Alligator mississippiensis: one gene and its partner. The protein of the gene in region 2 interacts with the protein of the main gene of each other region in a pairwise test. Links are inferred from orthologs where the notes say so. Each region holds a gene or a part of one and is shown on either strand. Other genes may lie near its edges.

Region 1 (10,123 bases), on a different chromosome or scaffold from region 2:
TCCACGATGCAGGAGGATGATGAGTCTGAAGCCACGTCTGTGTCTTCAGGAGAAAGCAGCCCCCCAACACCCTCGGCTAACGGGTACCCAGGTATGGGGCCCATGGGCTCAGATGCCTGGGTTCCCTCCCTGCTTCAGGGGGGGTCGGGATGCACCCAGGTCCCTTCGAGGGGTGTAAGCCCAAGGGGGGCAGCTTGGTTGCCTGGGTTCCCAGCGTGTGCCCCCTTCCGCAGGTCCGCGGAGCAAGGTGGCAGGCGAGGCGCCCACAGACATGGGCGCAGATGCAGGCGAGGAGCGGCTGGGCGCCCCCAGCCCCGAATGGCATGAGTGCCCTGAGTGTGGCCGTGGCTTCGGCACCTCACGGGCCCTGAAGGTGCATCGCAGCTACCACGTGGGGCGCAAGCGGCCGCACGGCACCGCCCCCTCACCGAAGCCCCCTGGTGTGGCACGGCCGGCACCCCCTCTTCCCTCGCTCAGTGATGCCGACACCCGCCCAGCCCCGCGCCCTGGCGCCTTCCACTACATCTGCGCCGAGTGTGGCCTGGGCTTTGCCTCCCCGGCGTCGCTTGAGGCCCACCGCTGTGAGCACGGCTGGCGCCGCAGCCCTCCTGCCCCACCCCTGCCCCCCTCCCTGGCTCCCCGCAGCGCCAAGGCCCCCCCACCACCACTGCCCCCCCGCCAGGCGAACGGGGCCCCCCCGCCCCCACCCCCGCCCCCGGAGCCTGAGGGGGCTGATGGACCATACCAGTGCACCGAGTGCCCAGGAGAGTTTGGCCTGGTCTCCGACCTGCACGAGCACTACATGCTGCACGCCCGTGGAGAGCTGTAGCCCTGTCTCCTGCTGCTGGCACTTCCCTTTCCATTGAACCCACCCCCACTGTGCACCCTTCGACAGTGCTGGGGGGCCCCCTGTGGAGGGGGGTTGAGACCAGAGCCAGCTCGGGTCACAGGTGGGGGCAGGAGAGAAGGCCTCTCCCTCCCCAATTTCCTATAGTCCAGGGAAAGGGGAGGGGGGGGTCCCTCCAGGTGGCGGGGGATGTCAGCCCCGTCATGAATATGAACGAGCTCATTAAGCTGCTGGGGTTGAGGGGGAGGGGGCGGGGGGAGGAAGTTGTTTAATAAAAGTCCTTGCATATGAGCCAATGGGGCATCTCTCTCGCGCCGACAGAAGGGAATTGTGGGTCATGGCTGGTGGGTGGGGTTCTAGTCCTGTGGTCGTCCCCCCACCTGCAAATCAACACACTGTGACTTGCTAGCTTGTTACAGGGAGATGATGTTGTAGTGGTGACTGTGAAGTCACACCAATGATGTCATGGGCTGCTCATGTTACCTCCCCTAACCTTGCTTTGGTGGGGGGGGGGCTGTGGCTGGTGACCTCAGGGGCAGTACTGCTGTGGGAAACCCTCTAGAGCAAGAACTATAAGCCCTGGAATGCACTGGGGCAGCCCCCAGAACCATAGCTTCCAGCATGTAGTATGGTAGCCCCTGCTGAACTACAGTTCCCAGCATGCACTAGGGCAACCCCCCCAGAATATAGCTCCCAGCATGGTCTAGGGCAGCCCCCAGAACTACAGCTCCCGGGATGCATTATGAGACGGTATTTTCCTCTTAGGACTACAGCTCCCAGCATACACTGTGGCAGGGTACTCCTCTGACTTGGCTTTCCCTCCCTACTGGGTTAAAAACTACACCTCCCATCATGCCGCTGGGCAAGGGGGGGCAGGGCCTCACTCCCACAGCAGCATACTGCCCACTGCTGGCTGTCCTGCTCTGCCTGGCCTCTGGCTCAGGTTCAGGTCCTATTGCCCCTAGGGAATACCCCCCCTCCCCCCAGCTGTAGCACTGTTGGCCATGAATTTCACAGCACCACACCAGGACCAGTAGAGAAGAGTGGGGCTCCATGCCCACCACCCCCCTCCAATTCCAGTGCTCATGGGTTTGCAGGGACAGGAGCAGGGTTTACACCAAGAAAGTCTCTGGGGCTGGGACTGACATCTCTCCCCACCCAGTCCCACGGTGCCGGCAGAGGCATGCGGACACAACTCCCAGCTGCCAACTAGGAACCTCCCTAGACCCCAGCATAGCATTGGGGTGACCTCCAGTGCAAACTCCAGGCAGGCAGGAGACAATGACACCTGCAGCCACGGATCATCTTTATTCTTTTTCTCCATATGAAAAATAAGAACCTTTCACTCCTGCCAAAGCTGCGGGGGCTGCAGGTTGTCAACCCCCCCAACTTCCCAGGGACCCTCCCCTGTGGGGGGATATGCTCCCCTACCTGCCCCTGACACGTGTTGCTCTGAGACCATCTGAAACCCCAGAACTGGGGAGGGGTCTGGCCATATAAATAGCACCCAAGGCTCAGACATGGAGGGGGCCAGGGAACGGGGAGGTCTCCCCCATGTCTCCCATGTGCCCCAACAGACATCTGCAAAGTCCCAGCCCCCACTCCTAAGGGAAACCCCCCTACTTTCTCCCTTCCTGTCCCCCCTCCCTGAGGACAGCAGCTGTACAGAGAGGACCCCCCCTTCTCTTTCCGGCCAGCAGGGGTGGGGGCTAGAGCTCGCCACGTGCATGGCGGATGTAGTGTTCATGAAGGCCAGCCTCGTGGGCGAAGCTCTGGCCACACTCTGTGCAGGCGTAGGCTCGGGTAGGCAGCAGCTCCAGCGGGCGCTGGTGTGAGGCCTGGTGGCGCCGGAGGTTCGAGAGCTGCCGGAAGCTCTTGCCACAGTCGGGGCAGGGGTGGGGGAGGCCGCGGGGGGTAGGGGTGGCGGTAGTGGGGCCTAGGCGTGGGCGCAGCGCGGGGCCCAAGCGGCGCCCGCAGTCAGGGCACTGGTGGGCCAGGCGGTGGCAGGAAGGGCAGGGAGCCGGGGGGGGCGCGTGGCCGCGCTGGTGCCCGATGAGGGCACGGGAGCTGTCGAAGGCCCGGCCGCAGATGAAGCAGACGAAGACGGTGCCACGCAGGTTTTCCTGCACGAAGTCCTCAGGGTGCTCCCGCTTCATGTGCCGCTCCTTGAACTTCTCATCCGGGAAGGTGATGAAGCAGTGGAAGCACTGGTTGGAGCCCAGACCATCTAGGGAGGGGGGCAGGGGGTCAGGGCGCGGGACCCCCCCCCGTCCCCCTCCCCCCGGGCTCCCGCAGTACTCACAGAGCGACGAGGCCACCGAGGCTTTGGGTTCATCCTCCTCCTCCTCCGCGCAGGCGGGGCCGGGCGGCGGGGTACGGACCGGGGAGCGCTCCCGTGGGGCCAATGGAACGGCTCCACATGGCGATGCTGAGCCCACATCAGACATGGCCGTGCTTGCAGGGAGGGGGCACAGATGCAGTGAAGTGAGCGGGGGGGGGGGGGGGGGGGTCAGCAGGATGGAGGCTACCCCCTGCCCTCCTCACAGTGGGGGGGTCCCCGCTCCTCCCCCATTGCTCCCCTCCCTGTGGACCCTGCCCAACCTGCCAACCATCCCCCTGACAAGGAGCCAAATTCCTCCCCACCCTATAGCCCCCCCAACCTTGCCCTGTGTTCCAACCCCCTCAGGGAGCTTCCCCATTTGCCCAACCCCATTAAAAACCCCCAAGACCAATCCCCCACCAAGGAGCACCATCTTTCCTCACCCCATGCCCCCCCAACCTCCCTCCCTTGAGAGCTCCCACATTCCTCCCCACCTCATAGACCCCCCAGCCTGTCCCAAACTCCACCCCCCCAGGGATCTCCCCCCACCCCATGCCCCGCTAACCTGCCCCATGCTGCCCACCCCACCCCATGGACCCCCACCTACCAACCCCCCACAGGAAGCTCCATCTGCCCCCCCAACCTACCCCAAGATAGGAGCGGGGATCCTCCACCCCGCACTCCCCTGCCCCCACAAGGAGCCTCCTCCCCCTAGCCGCTCCTTTCCCCACAACCCCCCACCCTCCATTGACCCCCCCATCTCCCAGTGCCCCCCAGAACCCTCTTCCCCCTCCCCAATAACAAAGGGGTCCCCTGACTCCACCATGTACCCGCTCCCTCTCCCCCGCGGCGCCCTCCTCCCATGTGACCCGTAGACCGAGCCCCCCATATATCTCACCTCTCTCCTCTCCTCTCTCTCCCTGCTTTCCCCTCCCCCGTTTTCATCTCTTACTTCCTGTTTCCGGTGCCTGCCCCAGCCAGAATCCCGCCCTATTTCCGGCGGGGCTGCCCAAACCAGCCCCTGAGCGGAAAAGAAAATCAGTCATCCCGGTTCTAGAGGCTCTGCGGCCTCTGGCCGGTCCCGCCGGCTTTGTCCCAGCGCAGGGGTCCCTCCCGGTGCTGTGAGTGAGTTGGCTGCGCCCCTCACGCGTGGAAACGTCGCCGCTCCTAATCAGGCACCTCTGTGGCTACCTCACAGACGTGGAGTGGCCACTGGGCAGCCCTTTACCGCAGGCTGCATCCAGTAACGCGTGCGCACAACTAGACAGACGCTGCACCTGACTAGAGGCGAGGATTGTGCGCACGCGCCGCAGGCTGCCAGTAATGGCGGACTCCAGACAGGATCGTACGCGTGCGCCCTGGCGCTGCCCTGGTTCCCAGCGCATGCGCGATGCAGCCTCAGTCTTGCTAGCTGGTCTCAGGCCGCCTGCAGGGGGTGCCACGTGCCCCACCACCGTGATCCCAGGTTGCACCGCGGTGGCTGTCTCCTAGTTGCCTTTGAGTGTGGCCCCTTGGGGCAGGGAGACCCCAGATCCCCATTATACACTGGGCACAGAGCCCCCAGCTTCCCTTCTTTCCAAGCATACGCTGGGGCACAGACCTTCCTCCCACCCAGTTCAAGTTTCCATGCACTGGGGTGCAAAGAGTGCTGTCCCACAATGCACTGCAACCACCTGCCGCATCCAAGGGACCACGAAATGAGGTGGCAGCCACAAGTGGAAGCAAAACATTTATTTCAACAGACAGAAGCAGCTCTGGGGCTCTGCAGAGGCCACAGGCAGGGGCCACAGGGGGGCACATGCAGCAGACCCCCACGGCCCATAGGCAGGACACAGACACGTGTGGGTGCAAGACCCTGGGACGGGATCGGCGTGACCCCTGAGACATAAAGGAACGCTGTTGTGTTGTTGGACGAGGGGAACCACCCCAGAGCCAGCAGCATCCTAGGCCCTGTTACACCCAGCCCTGATGCCCACCCCAGAGCCAGCTGCATCCGACCTGGGTCCTGCCCCTACCCCAGGGTGCAGGCCCGCAGCAGCACACGCTCAGCATCAAGGGCCATCTCGACTGCCGCCTGGCTCAGCAGGTGGTAGGCTGCCTCCAGTGTCACCTGGGGCTGGGGCACGGACGGGCTGCCCCAGAAGGGCACATAGCTCCAGAGCCGGGCAGCCAGGGACGGTGATGGTGCCATAGCCTCCAGCACCATGCTGGGCTGCACCATCTGTGCCCAGGGGCACCTGATCTGGGCCTGCAGTTCCCGGAGCTCCAGCTTGGCAGCCATAGCCATACGAGTGAGGGAGGCCTCATCCAGCCCGAAGGTGGCTGCGCTGGCCTGGAGGGCTGTAGCCAGGCCATGCCCAGCATCCTCCATGGGGCGCAGGCAGACATGTAGTGCCTGGCGCCAGGCCTCAGCCAGCACCTGGCGCCGCTCCCTGCGCACCAGGCGCCCAATAATGACTGGCAGTGCTGCTCGCTGAAGCCCTGCAGCCTCCTCGGCCAGTGCCTGCCGCAGCCGGCCCAGCTCAAAAGCCTGGGGCTCATGGGAGGACAACAGGAATACGCGGGTCTCAGCTAGGCCTTCCTGCACCAGCTGCTCCCTCAGGCCCACAGAGCCGGTGGGGTCACGTAGGTCCACATCCACCTGTGTCCGGGCCATGATGAGGGCCCGGCCAGCAGCAACGGCTGCCCGGGCCAGGCGGATGAAGGGCTCGCGGTACACGTTGGAGGTCGTGAGCAACAGCAGGTCATAGCGGCTTGGGTCCACGGTGCCTGCATCCGACAGGTCCCACAGGGTGAGGCCGGGAGCACCAGGCAGCGTGTGGATGCCAGGGGCATTGCCGCACAGTGCAGCGATGAGGGAGGTATGGCCTGAGCCGGGCTCACCCACCACGGCCACATCCACGGGCAGCTGGGAGGCATCAGCCAGTGCAGCGCGGAGCAGGCCAGGGGCCTCGGCCAGGCTGCCCCCAGCGCAGACCTCAGTCAGTGCCCGCAGCGTCCGCTCCCGCACAGCTGGCAGCTCCTCCAGCAGGTCCCCAGGGTCAAGCCTGCAGCGGGAGGGAGGCAGGGGCTAGGACCCAGGCATCTGGGTTCCCAGGTCCCACTGCTTTCACCCACCAGAGCCTACTCCTCCATTTGGAGAACCCAGGTGTCCAGGCCCCCAGCCCCCACTGCTCCCCCCTCAGAAAACCCAGGCATTCAGCCCCGGTCACTCACATGGGCAGCTGCAGCACCTCACGCACCAGCGCATCCTCGAGCCAGGCAAAGTCGAAGCGGTCAGGCTCCAGTGTGGACACGGCAGCAATGCCAAGGGGTTTGAGACCAGCCCGGGCCAGTGGCTCTGACACCTGGGCCCGGAGCTGGGGTAGCAGCCGGGCTATGGTGTGGCCGCGCCGCTTGGCTGTGTGCAGCGCCAGGTCAGCACCTGTCCGCACCACCAGGCAAGGCAGCGCCCGCGCCCGCGCCTGCACTGCCCGCACCATCGCCACATCATTGCCACCCGGTGGCCCCGGCAGCACCAGCACCAGGCAGGCAAAGGGTGCCAGGCCCAGCAGCTGCGTTACGTAGGCCTCAGGCACCTCATCGGGCCCCAGCCCAGGCAGGTCCCAGAGCACGGCGCTGGGCAGCGCAGGTGGCACGTGGGGTGTGGGCGGCACCGGAGTGAGTGGTGGTGGCTGGAAGAAGGCATGAGGGTCATGGAGCCGGGGCGGGGAGCCCAGCAGGGCCTGCACCAGGCTGGAGGTGCCGGCGCGGCAGGGGCCCAGCACTGCCACGTGCACCTGCAGCCCCTTGGCCGCCCCCTCCAGCGCCCGCAGCTGCCCCGGTGCCACCGCAGGGTCCTGGGCTGCCAGGAGGGCCTCGGTCTCGGCCAGGAAGGAGCGGGGCAGGACGGGGGGTGCCGTCATGGCAGCAGGGGCGGACACCTGGGTTCTCGGGGCTGAGCTGGAGTGCGGAGTGGGGTGGACGCCTGGGCTCCCTGGAAGGGGGGGCTGGGAGCCGGACGCCTGGGTGGGGGGGGCGGACGCCCGGGGGGGCGGGGGGCCGGGGGCCGGAGGCCTGGGCTCCCTGGAAGGGAGGTGCCTGGGGTGCCCCGGACGCCTGTGTCCTAGGGGCGGCGCTGTCCCCGGTGCTGCCGCCGTCCGTCTCCGCTTCCTTCCGCCGAGAAGCGAAACCTCCGGCACCGCCTCCGCCTCCGCCTCCGCCCGGGCCCATTAGCTGCTCGGGGCCGAGACGCGCAGCCGCGGGGCCGGGACACGGGACACGGCCGCGGGGACACACGGCCTCGGGAGCGGCCCTGGCGAAGGGTGGGCACCGCGAACCCCCCGTCCCCCGTGTCCGTGTGTCCGCCCCCCCACCTCTGCCCCTCCACCCCGGGGCCCCTCTCTCCCTCCCTCTGTCCGGCCCCAGGGGGCCCTCCGAGGCCCCGTCTCCCCATCCACTCCCTCCCTCTATCCGCACGTGGGAACCCAGGCGTCCGAGCCGCTCCCCCACCCGCCCGCATTAGGGGAATCCAAGGGTCCAAGCCCCCCCCAGTATGGGGTATCCAGGCGTCCGCGCCCCCCCACATCCTGATCTAGCCACTAGCCGCGTGTATCTCTCTCCGTCCGTCCGTCCTCCATCCACCCCCACGTCCATCTGTCCGTCCACCGACCCGGCTTCCCGTCGCCTACCCCTGCGTTGCATTCAACCAGCCACTTACCTACACCTCCATCCACCCACCCATCTGTCCGCCCATCCACCCCTCTACCTACCTACCTACCCATCCAGCCGTCCGTCCATCCATCCATCCACCCCCTATATACCTATCTGTCCATTGGTCAATCCATCCTTCTACCAGCCTACTCATGTCTGTCCATCCATCCAACCATCCCCCTCTTTATCCATCCATCTGCCTTTCCATCCATCCATCCATCCATCCCCACAAGTGTCTGTCTGTCCACCTACCTATTTGTCTATCCCTCTATCTGTTCTCCTATTCCATCCAGCCTCCTGTAGATAGACAGAGGGATGGGTGGATGGAAGGATAAGTAGGTAGGTAGGTGGGTAGACAGACAAACAGACGGAGGGAGAGATGATAGAGGAGTGCCAGGATATGTAGGCGTGTAGGTACTAGATAGATAGATAGATAGATAGATAGATAGATAGATAGATAGATAGATAGATAGATAGATAGGGGGAGGAATAAATGGGGATAGAAAGGGGGTGGATGGTTGGGCAGGTGGACAGAGGGATGGCTATGTAGATACATGAAGGGATAAAGGAGAGCATCTAATCTCTCCCTCTGTCCGTCCCTCCATCCACCTTTCTACCTACCCCCCCCACCCAACCATCCTTCTATCCATCTCTCTATCCATCCACCCATCTCTCTGTCCATCCATTCATCCCCCTGCCCCCCCCCCCCGGTGGGTGCTGGGCATTTGCAGGAACTGGCCTGCAGGTAGGGGGGCATCAGGGCCCCAATCCTGGGGGGCTGCTGCCCTGGGGTCCCCTCACCCCCACACTCTCTCCCGCAGCCCCCACCATGGCGCAGCCACCCACTGCAGATGTTGCGGAGCTGGCTGAAGTCTCAGTGCTGGTGCTGGGGGTGCCAGGCTGCGGCAAGACAGCATTGATCAATGCAGCGCGGGGACTGGCACCCACTGACCCCCATGCTGCCCCTCTGGAGGTCCCACCTGCCCCGGGGCCCCCTGAGCTGCACCCCGACCCCACGCAGCCCAGCCTGCTGCTGTGGGAGCGGGCACTGGTGCCGGGTGCCGAGGCCTGGCTGGCTGAGGCCGATGTGGTGGTGGTGGCCAGTGCCGCGCTCTTTGGGCCGCAGGAGGTGGCAGTGGCTGCAGCAGCACGGGAGGCCGGGAAGACCGTGATCTTTGTACGCACCCAGGCGGACCTGGCACTGCACACACTACGGCGCCTGCTGGGTGGTGGGTGTGAGGCCCGTGAGGCTGCACTGGGAGCCTTGCGGCAGGCCTGCACCCACGCCCTGCACAGCCTGGGGGTCCCTGCATCCCCTGCGCTCTTCCTCATCTGCAGCCTCCAGCCCCATGGCCTGGACACGCCGCAGCTGCGTGCCACCTTGCTCGACGAGGCCCAGCACTGCCAGAGGTACCTGGAAGGGCTGTTGAGGGGGGGAGGGGAGTGTCTCTGGGGTGGGGGGGGGCTTCTGCCACAGAGGCAGGGGCCGGGAAGGGGGAACAGCCCCATGTCCCATCATATTCTGTCTCCACCAGACTCCCCCAGTGTCCCACCCTCTCCAGCACCCCAGATCCCCTCATGTCCCACCCTTTTCAGCCCCTGTCCCATCCTATCCAGCCCCCCCCCAATCCCCACAGCTCCCTCCCCTGAGGCCATGCCCCCTCCCCCCACAGGCTGCTGCGCCGGGTGCTGTGTGACTTTGAGGTGATTGGGGTGCGGGAAGCGGCTGAGCTCCAAGAGGCCTTTGAACTGGGTGGGCTGGAAGCTGTGGTGGCATGGCTAGAGCGGGGGCTGGCAGCGCATTGGGCCACGCGGCTGGCCATAGCTGTGGTGGGGCCACCAGGTACCAGCACACAGCCCCTGCTCAATGTGCTGCGCGGCTTGGCTGATGATGACCCCCAGGCCGCCCCTGCTGGCACCCCAGTGCCACAGCCCACGGCCTACCCCTGCCCTGCGCAGCCCGGTGTGGTGCTCTGGGACCTGCCCACGTCCGCACCGGACACCCTTACCACCTACGACATCATCCTCATCCTTGCCACTGCGGCCTTTGGCAACAGCCACATGGAGCTGGGCCGTGTCGCGGGCAAGCATGGCTACTTCATCCGTGCTGCAGAGGTGCTGGAGGAGGAGGAGGCTGCAGCACTGCGCCAGGCGAGCCAGGAGGAGCTGGCGGCCCTGGGGCTGCCAGATGCTCTTGTCTTCGTGCTCAGCACTCGACGGCCAGAGCGCTATGACTTTGCAGCCTTATGGGAGGCACTGGTACG
Region 2 (10,124 bases):
TGAATTTCAGCAGCATGGGGGTTTGTACTGGGCTCAATGCCTGATCCCACAGCAAGGCACAGAGGTAAGTACAACCAGCATGCGGCTGTTAATGCAAGCTCTGGCTTCATATTAGAGCTCGTGGACCCAGGCATGTAAGCTACACTGCAGGGACCATGGCTCTGTGCTGGGCACCCCTGTGGGGGCACCATGCACAAGCACTGCTTTTTCTCTCCAGTGCAAAGAAAAGGAGCGTGCCTCTTCGTTCCATCACAGTCAAAGGTTATCTGAGAGACTTTTGGTTAGAAGAGAAGCATGGGAACGCAGAACTTGCTTTGTGAACAGAACAAACTTTATTAAGTTTTGTACCAACAACACTTTCAGAAGGCAAATAAAAATTCAAGTGAGGCATTTATGGCCATTAAGGAGGGAGCATCTAGGCTACAGCCTCCTTGTGCATGTCAACAGCCAACCAAACAGAACTACGGGCTGAAGTGATCTGGCTTCTTGTGCCTCAGAACTCAGCTGCGTGCATCCGTGCCCCGACAGCCTCTCACAACACAGTCATTTTCCACTTGGGAAGACTGTCATTTTACTTGTACCCATGATTATACAAAGACTTGCGAACAACTGGACTTAAACTAAGCCCAGTGTGGGATAGGGGTAATGCTCTCTTCCCCACAGGAGAGCCTGGAACTGACCCCTAACCTGTTTGGACTAAGACCCCCCCACAGAACTTCAACATTTCCCACCCCTCTCCCATGACCCCAACACAGCAGCAGGCCAAATTTTGTGCAGGTCCAAGTTAAGGCAACAGAAATGGGATCACCTTAAGCTCAGGTGAATGCATCTCCCCAAATCCCATGTCAAGGGAAGTACGAGACCTAATTAGCCTCACCATCAAACCAGAGAGTGGGCAATACCTTTAAGCATGATCCATCTTAACAGAAAAATAACAGCCACCAAATGATCTTTTTGGTGTCTGCTCGCCTCCATTGGGGAAACAGCCAACGCAAATGGCAATTAAGGAGAAACAGGTTCCCTGGCTTACATTAACCCTGTCAAGGGGCCTGGAATTCACACCCCTCAGGTCCTATGGCTGTGGCCTGGCTAGATGATAATGCCTGACTGTTCCTGAGTTGGAGGCTTTTTACAGCCAAGGAACAAGGAACAACAGCCTAGAAATAAGCACAGATTCCAGAGAACAGGACACGGGAAGCCTTGCCCTTTGCAAGTCACAGAATTCCTGCTATCCCAGAAGGAAGGATTTACAGCTGGCATCAGCATGCTGTCAGCAGGAGGGCAGAAGTACTACTCGGTGGCCAGCTGAAGCAGCTTGCCACACTAGTGTTTTCTGACACGGTTTTCTCCATGATCGCACAGAGGCCTGAAAGCTCTTCATTTTCATTATTTCTTTAAATTAACTTCTTAACCTTGTAAACAGGCTAACACACAAACTCCCCCCAATACATCTTGGAAGGATGTTGGCTAGCAGCTAGAAATTCAAACCAGCAGCAAGATAATGATCTGGGACTTACACCCCCATCTCAGTTTGCTTTTACTCAGGAGACTCTTTCCCTCATCCCACAGAAACCCTGATACCAGGGTCTGTCCTGGATAGCTCATGTCCCCCTACTGCTCATTTGAGAATGGGTAGGGGCTATTCCAACCCCCTCTGCCCTGAAATGACATCAGGTTTGCATGGAAGGTGCAACAAGTACAGAACATGTTCCTGTAATCAAGCGTGCTAGTCTGAGTGCCAGTCTAGAGCCCTGGGAAACGCACAGGGTCACAGCCCATTACTTAGAATCTACCCCCAAATACCGAGGCCAATAACCACAAGATAAACACATTCATAAACAAGGTATCTAGGCTGCTGCTCAATGCCCCTTACCCTCCTAAACAAAACAAAACGTTCAAAAGCCACCCCGTCAGCAGACTGCAGAAGGCAGACATGATGACAGGACTCTTGTGTGCCATGTGACATAACTAGACAGCTGGTGCTGACGGGCAGGCCATTTCTTAGGGCCCTTCTCCCTTCCTCAAGTAGTTTTCCACCAGTTGGTCAAAGCTCTGTGAGGAATATTGCTCGAGTGTATTTAACGGCACGAGCGAACACCCTTCTGCAAGGCTAGGTGTAACTTGTTCGCTCGACACAGGTGACAAGCTGGGCAGGCTGCTACTGTCACCAGCCGCCTCTACGGGAAGAAATTCCTCTCCCTTTGAGGAGGGTGAACTCTGCTTGCAAGAGGGAGTATCTGCCTTCTGAGCAGGTACAAACTGTAAAGGGGCATAGTATACCCACCTAGGTGGGCATGGGATAACATGGCACAAAGGAGTGTCAGGCTCCTTGTTCAACCAAGTCCCCTCAGTCTCAGTGTTCTTGGATAAAGGACTCCCATGTGACTCTACTAAGCCTGATTTCCCTTCTTCAACACTGGTGCCCAGTGGTCTTACCAGCTGTTCTTTGGCAGGTGCTGATGAAGGAGACTGTGCTGAGAGAAGCTGTCCCTGGGCACCGTCACTGCTGCAAGTCTTTTCCATTTCCTTTCTTTCCGTGCAACACCAAGGGCAGCAAACGCAGTCTCCCTGACAACTTGTACCAGCCCACTCAATTTCCTCAGAATTTTGCTGGTAAACTTCCACATCCCCAGAGGTCTTCAACTCGTGACTCTGCACAGCTCCTGAGCTCTTGGACGTGTCAGGGCATTCCTCTAGGGACTCGAAGATGACCCCTAGCGGCCCAGGTTGCCGTGCAGGTATGGTAATTTTCAGCAGCTGCCTAAGCCTTTCCTCTCTCCTGCTATCTGTCAGTGGTGTGACATCCTTCCAAGACTGTAGGACGCTGGGGACAGGAAACAGCTCACGGTTAGGGTTCAGGTACTTCTCCAAGTAAGCTTGACACGCCATGCTCTTGACTATCGGGATGACTGAGCAGGGTTTCAGCCACTGGACAAATTCACACAGCTCCGAGAAGGACGAGTGGTCAGAATAGGGAATGATGTGCATATTGGGATGGGTTTTCTTCAGCGGGCGCCCAGTGGGGAGAATGGCAATCGTGGGGTGCTGCTGGTTCCAGTAGCGCACAGACTTCCAGCGGATTTCCGAGGGCTCCACCACATGGATCCAGCCAGAATCTTCCCAAGTGGTGAACGGATGGTGCTTATCCAACAGCTCCAACACAGCCAGCCTCTCGGGGCTCACCACGATCCAGGTGTTAAACGTCAGGGACAACTCAGTTAGGAGTGACTCCTTCCCCAGAGTGTAGATACCTGGCAAAGAAAAAACAGAACAGCTTAGCAACTTTTAGAGACTCAGAAGTATTTTGTCAAGGCAAAGACAGTGCCTGGGGAAGGTGACCAGGGCAGGGAGAAAATAGCTGTAAGACTCCAGAGAAAGGTGCCTACCCACAAGGGGAAATTAGAGAGAGACAGCACATAAGACAACACAAGCAATGCCCTGAAGAACTGACGCGTACTTTGTACGAAGAGGAAGAAAAACAATTGCTCTCTGCGCCCTCCAAAAACCTCAAGATTATTCCACAGCCTCACACCTGCAGCACTTCAGACACCAGAAGTGAAGCAGACTCAAATCTGCACTCTGATTAGCAGAAATACACATCGTTTGCATCATCCAGGCCAATGAATGCACAAGCCAGACACAGCAAAGGGCACAACCCAGCCACCCCTCGCACAGTATCATCCGGTCCTGGTTAGGCATTCACCACAACTCCAATTGGGGCACTGGCTGCAGTTCACACCCTGCCATATGCCAAGCTACCAAGAAGTCTGGCTCACCAATCTTGACGTGGTACTTAGGGTGGGCCTTGATCAGCTCTTTTATTTGTTCGGTGGCCTGCTCCCTGGAAGGCAGGACCAGCGCCGGGTCACAGTATGTGTTGTCCAAGTAAAGAACGTCAATTTGTTTTTGGTTCATTAGGACTGGTTCCTTCAGCATTGCCGGAGTGTAGCGAAAATCACCTGGCAAGAAGCAAAGCAGCACCAGTTTGCAAGGCAGAAACACAGGATCTGGGGACACCGGGAGCAACGGGGCCCACCTAGCGGTTACTGCTCCACGTTGCAGGCTCCGAAACTCAGGGGAGGTCCCCAGCTTCCAGGACACGGAAGCAGTAGGAGCCCGACTGCTTGGGTGCTTTTTTCTAGGACATCACGGAAGTGATGTGGGCTGAACTCCTGGTGAGCGACTCACATTTCTACAAGGGACAGCAGTGTCAGCCCTAGCAGCCACTGCCAAAGGTGCAGGCCTGGAGCAGGCAGTGAAGGCAGGAAGTGTCATTAAGGGGGTGGGGGGAACGGGACTCGTGGCTGCCGGGTGTGGTGAAAGCTGACCGTGCAGCCAGGTTCGCAAAGGGACTGGACACCTTGGAGGAAAGGGGCCTCAGCGGCCATTGAGCAGGTGACTGAGGAGCGCAGCCTCCTCGTCAGACCACACCTGGCCTTTCACAACACGCTGCGTGAGAAGGAGCTTCTCGGGGTTGGCTTTAAACGGATGACGGGCATGTTTCACATGGCAGCCCCTCCTCGTGGGGAGAGTCGATGACCAACCCCTGTGGACTTTCTCGTTGCCGTTTTCTGCATCATAAACCTTTCTCCTGCCCCCTCCAGCATCTCTTCCCTGCACTGAGCCTTGACCGTCTCCTCATGAGAAAGGCCCCCGGCCACTCCTCCGCTCGCCGCCCCGCCCCAGTTCTCCCATCTCCCGCGGGGGACGTGTGAAGGGGTGCGGCGATACTCCCTGCCGTCTCACAGGCCCTCGGCACTGGGTGCGAGGGAGAGGCTGGGCCGCCCCGAGACCCCAGACCCGGTACCTGTGTAGAGCACGACCCCGAAGTCCCCCTCAAAGAGGAACATGACGGAGCCGGGGCAGTGGTCGGCGTCGATGGGCGTCACCGTCATGGTGCGCTGGGCCCGCTCGTCCAGGATCACGACATGGCTCTGCCCCACCTCCAGCGGCCGGATCCAGCACGCGTCCACCTGGGGGGAAGGAGGGAGGGAAGGAAGGCCGGGCCGATGAAGGCCGGGCCGGGCCGGGGGTGGGGGATGGGCCGGGCGGTACCTGCAGGCGAAGGCGCAGCAGGTGGCCCGTGAGAGGGGAGCAGAACAGCGGGCGGCGCCAATTGCGGGTCAGCCCGGCCGTGTGGTCCGCGTGCAGGTGCGTGAGGAAGAAGAGGCGGGCGCCGCGCGTCCTGCGGCGGCCCCATAGGTCCACGGCCACGGGCGGCTCGTCCAGCAGCGTCCCACTCATGGCTGTCAAGCCGCGCCACGTGCCTGTCCGCCCCCGCTTCCGCTTCCGCTTCCCGCCAAGGCCGCGCAGCGCATGCGCGGCGGGCAGGCGCAGGGAGGGGCCGCGCTCAGCTTCCGGCCAAGGCTGCGTGGCGCAGGCGCAGGCCGCTGAGAGGAGCGGGGCGGCGCCGGGCGTAGTGCGCCTGCGCGGGAGGGGACGCGCCTGCGCAGTGTGGCGGTGGCGGCTGAGCCGGAGGGGGCGGCGCCGGGTCGTTCACTCTGGAGCGGAACGACGGCGCGATGCCGTACCTGGGCTCGGACGAGGCGGTGCGCGAGCTGAAGCGGGTGCTGGCCAACCCGCACGTGCAGGCGGACCGGCTGCGCTACCGCGGCGCAGTGCTGCGCGCCGTGCGGTGAGGCGAGGCGGGGAGGCGCGGCGCGGCGCGGGGCCGGCCCGGGTGCGGGGCGCTGCGAGCTGACCCCCCCCCCCCCGTGTCCCGCAGGCTGATGGCGCGCGGCGCGGACGTGTCGCCGCTGTTCCCGGAGCTGCTGCGCGCCCGCGCGGCCCCGGACCCGGCGCAGAAGCGTCTGGCGCAGCTGTACGTGGGCGCCCACGCGCGGGGGCAGCCCGAGCTCGCGCTGCTGGCCGTCAACACGCTGCGCACCGACTGCGCGCACCCCAGCCCCCTGCTGCGCGGGCTGGCGCTGCGCGGGCTCTGCGCGCTCAGGTGCGTGTGCTCATCCTCCCCACCGCCGCGTGTGCGTGTTCACGCTTGCCCGCAGGTGTGTGTGAGTGCTTGTCCATGCGCATGTTCATGCGTGTCCTTGAGTGTGCGTGGGTATGTGCCTCAGGTGTGTGCATTTCATACGTGTCCTTGAGCGCGCGTGGGTGAGTGCATATGCTCCTGCCTGTCCCGGGCGTGCACATGTTCACGCGTGTCCCCGAGCGCACGTGTGTGTGTCCGCGTGTGCCCCCAGGTAACGCAGCACCTGTGTGCAGGGGTGGGCGCTCTCTGCGCGTGTGGCTGCTCAAGGCGGAGGGCGGGTGGGCGGGCGCGCGGGGCTGGGCGATGCAAGGCCGGCCCCGGGCCAGAGCCCCTGTGACGGGTGCCATGAGCTGCAGGGGTGGGGTGTCCTCTGCTTGGCTCCCTGAGAGCAGCCCGGGCCCTGCCGTGCAAGCAGGCTCATGTGCCCCGGAGCAGCTCGTGGGATCCAGGGTGAGCCCCACCGTGCCTTGTGCGTTGGTCCCCAGGGTGCCCGGCATACAGGAGTACATCCGGCAGCCCCTTCTGAACGGCCTGCGGGACAAAGCGTCCTACGTGCGCAGGGTAGCGGTTCTCGGCTGCGCGAAGATGCAGAGCCTCCAAGGGGACTCCGAAGTGGGTAAGCCTGGAGGGTTTCCCTGTTGGCTTGTTTCAACTCCCCGTTTGTTACGTGTTTATTCCTGGCTGCGTTGTCTTTTTCCGACAAAGGCCCCAACAGCTTAGATTGCGTGACAAAATAACCTAAACCTGGGAGAGTCGTAAGAGAGCAAAACAACTTGAAAGGGAGCTAGACTGTGGAGCTAAAACAGTTCCTAGACAACACCGGGGTCCAGCTTTGTTTGGTAAACACCCACGCAAGTAGGAAGCTCTTACCGCTCTTGTGAAGCTGTCAGCCTCGCTCGAGTGCTCGCGGTGATGCATGATCGTCGCATGTGCTGGGCAGGGAGAGCGGCACTTAGTCCTTCAGGAACGTGCAGCCTGTTCCCATACTTCAGACAAGGAGTCAGGGCCTCCCGTCTGGCCTGTGTTTTGACCTTAGATCCCAGGCAGGACAGACAAGCTATCTGTGAACCAAAGGCAGATTCTTAAAAGGCTTTTCTTCTCGGGCCTTTCCTGCAGCTCAGGCTGGCAGAGCGAGTTTCCTGAAGGAACGGTCCTTTCATGTTTTTTGTCTTTACTAGCCTGGAGCTCTTCTCCTCTGCCGTTCTTTGTGTTACATCTGAGCTGCAGCCTCTGGCACCTGATGGGCTCTGTGATCCGCGTGATGGTGGGCTCGGTAGGGCGAGGCTGTGTCATACATAGATGCTACTAGAAAGCCAGATGGGGTTGCAGATGTTGTTATTCTCCATTCCCAAGCCATTTGTTATGGCCCTTCTGTTTGTGGGCTGTGGCTAAATCACCCCAACGGACCCAGCGGTCAGGTCTGTGCCGTCCTCACCGTGGCTTCTTTGCAGATGGTGCGCTGGTGAACGAGCTGTACAGTTTGCTTCGTGACCCAGATCCCATCGTAGTGGTGAACTGCCTGCGGGCTCTGGAGGAGATTCTGAGGCAGGAGGGAGGAGTCGTCATCAATAAGCCCATCGCCCATCACCTCCTCAACAGGTTTGTTCTCCCTCAGACTTGTGCAAAGCTGGGAGTCTCGCCGTAGTGGGATTGTCTTGCGTTTGCTACATCAGAGAACAGGTGCACCCTGTTCCTGTCAGCTCGGGGAGGTTCAGCGTGGGAGATAGCTGGGAGCAGAAGCACATAGGTGCCCATTCTAGAAGGGACCAGGGTAAGCTGAAGCTAAGATCACACGTGAAATATGAGACCATGCCCTGCCATGCTAGTGACACAGGGAACCTTTGGCTGCCAAGTCCAGGACAAATTTGTGACCAGCTGTTGGTCGTTATAAATCGTACTAGAGAGCAGCATTTTTTTATAGGAAGCTTCTGTCTTCCTTGACAGCACACAGGCTGCATCTCTGAGACCTCCTGCATCCTAACCTGTCCGTCACATTTACATCCCCGTGCGTGTAAAGTGGTGGAAGTCATATCCACTGCCTGGAGGAATTAGCTTCTCCTCACACAGGCCCTCAGGCCTGAAGTCCTAGTTGCAAAACTAGCAGTGGAAAGAGAGAGTGGCATTTCTTCCCTGTTGTGCTGCCCTGGGACCCCATCAAGGTTTCTTTCTGGCACATTGCCTGGGGGAAGGAACAAATAAACAGGGAGGGGGGGAGTTCATCTGCGACCTGTGTAAGTTAGTTAGCTCCTTTTGAGAGACAAACTTAGCATCTTCTTCTGCAATTCTGGCACCTGACCTTGAACTGAAACCATCGCAGAAGCAGCAGTTGCAGCCCCTGAGCTGTCCTGGGGTGACCCTCATTTCACTGTATGACTTCACATGATTTTGTGCTGCCCTCATCTGCCACAGACTGTTTACTGTGCTCTTTCCTTGGCAGAATGGCTGACCTAGACCAGTGGGGGCAGAGCGAGGTGCTGGCCTTTCTTCTGCGCTACACGCCCCGGAGCGATGAGGAGCTCTTCAACATCCTCAACTTGCTGGATGGGTATCTCAAGAGCAGCAGTCCCAGCGTTGTGATGGCAGCCACCAAGCTCTTCCTGGTGCTGGCCAGCGAGTACCCACACGTGCAGACGGACGTGTTGGTGAGGGTGAAGGGGCCGCTATTGGCTGCCTGCACTTCTGAGAGCCGGGAGCTCTGCTTCACCGCCCTGTGCCACGTGCGGCAGATTCTCGGAAGCCTCCCTGGCCACTTCAGCAGCCATTACAAGAAGTTCTTCTGTTCCTACTCAGAGCCCCACTATATCAAATGCCAGAAGATGGAGGTGTTGTGTGAACTGGTGAACGATGAGAACGTGCAGCAGGTGCTGGAGGAGCTGAAGGGCTACTGCACTGATGTGTCTGTTGAACTTGCCCAAGGGGCCATCTTTGCCATAGGTAAGAGTCCTCTCTTGTCTCTGGAGCAGCTGAGACCTTGCTCAAGTCTCTCAGAAAGATGGGTCGCCTGTAGCTGAGGTGAGCCTGGGCCAGCAGCAAATGAGTGCTGTGTGCTGGAGCTGTGTCCCAGCACCGAACCCAGAACGAGCCAGATCTCCCAGAAACATGGGCATGGTCCTCAGCACAGGCTGTGTGGAGCCTTTCTGAACCGGGGGCGCCCCTGGAATGCCTGCGTGCCTTTTCCCACCCTGGGAAGCTGGGTGCTGAAGGTGCGTGGCGATGGATTGTATTGGCAACCACAAACTACTTCATTCCCAGTCAGTTGGCGTGGTGGCCTTGTGGGCTTCTCTTTCACTGTCTGGTTGTCTTCTGGGTGGTGCTGTGGGGACAGAGGTAAGGGGGGTTTGCAGGGACCCTGTTTTTGCGTTTGAAGGTTTTAAGGTAAAATGCCTTCGTTACAACAAAGGATAAGCTTCCCTTTTCCATCCCTGTCTTTTCTCTCAGCTGTTTTGGACAGAAGTGCAGGGTTTTCCCAAGAGCTTTTTTTTTTTTTAGCCCAAGTGAGGACTAGAGCCTGCTGACTAATGTCAGGCACAAGTATATTCAGATCCAAGTGTTTTGCTTGAGAGGAAGCTTGTAGCCTGAACACCGGGGTCTATGTCTCTGACCAGAACTTGGCTTGTTCCCTGTGGCGCTCTTTCAGGCAGCATTGCCAGGACGTACACAGAACAGTGCGTGGGGATTCTGACGGAGCTGCTGGGCCTCAAGCAGGAGCACATCACTTCAGGTAACTCCTGGCTGCTGGTTGCGTCAAGGGGATTGCCAGCCCCCCACCTTCAGGAAATGGCTCCAACTCTATGCTGGGGTTTGGGAAAGCCCCGTCCTGCTGGCCACAGCTTGCTGAGGTTTCGAACAGAATAGGTGTCCCTAGAGATTTCCTTGTTCAAAGGGTGGAGGCAGGGATGGCTTCATAACTTCTCCCTTCTTAGATAGGTGCCTTGAGAGTCACGGGGACAGGTCATGGCTGCTCCCATGGTGCGATGTGGACTAAGCCTTTGGGCCATCCCCTGCTGACTCGGACAGAGAGCAGATGCAAAGAGGCATTTTAGAAAGGTCAGAAGTTTTTGTCAACATGACCTTGACATGCTCTCGTTGGCCCTTCTGGTCTCAGCTCTTAGAGATAGCATAAGCCCTCTGAGCC

Evidence for each region.
Region 1: the proteins of AP4B1 (region 2) and ZNF576 interact in binary tests that used the Homo sapiens proteins (3 or more experiments, as listed by UniProt). The two-hybrid records come from large-scale screens. The link is inferred for Alligator mississippiensis from reciprocal best matches to the Homo sapiens genes AP4B1 and ZNF576.

What each region holds. Positions count from the first base shown.
Region 1 is NC_081838.1:30,898,839-30,908,961, forward strand, and holds ZNF576 (zinc finger protein 576), read right to left. Parts: upstream 4,482-10,123; 5' UTR 4,315-4,481; exon of another isoform or gene 4,189-4,314; 5' UTR 4,113-4,188; coding exon 4,066-4,112; intron 3,302-4,065; coding exon 3,150-3,301; intron 3,075-3,149; coding exon 2,557-3,074; 3' UTR 2,141-2,556; downstream 1-2,140. Other genes in the region: zinc finger protein 48, read left to right, coding at 1-91, 234-829; uncharacterized protein LOC109283767, read right to left, coding at 5,179-6,214, 6,384-7,072; interferon-inducible GTPase 5, read left to right, coding at 8,689-9,269, 9,533-10,123. UniProt on the Homo sapiens protein: May be involved in transcriptional regulation.
Region 2 is NC_081837.1:45,362,354-45,372,477, forward strand, and holds the start of AP4B1 (AP-4 complex subunit beta-1), read left to right. Parts: upstream 1-5,433; 5' UTR 5,434-5,522; coding exon 5,523-5,635; intron 5,636-5,725; coding exon 5,726-5,950; intron 5,951-6,474; coding exon 6,475-6,605; intron 6,606-7,440; coding exon 7,441-7,588; intron 7,589-8,426; coding exon 8,427-8,923; intron 8,924-9,626; coding exon 9,627-9,710; intron 9,711-10,124. Other genes in the region: DCLRE1B (5' exonuclease Apollo), read right to left, coding at 2,002-3,251, 3,777-3,959, 4,808-4,973, 5,056-5,244.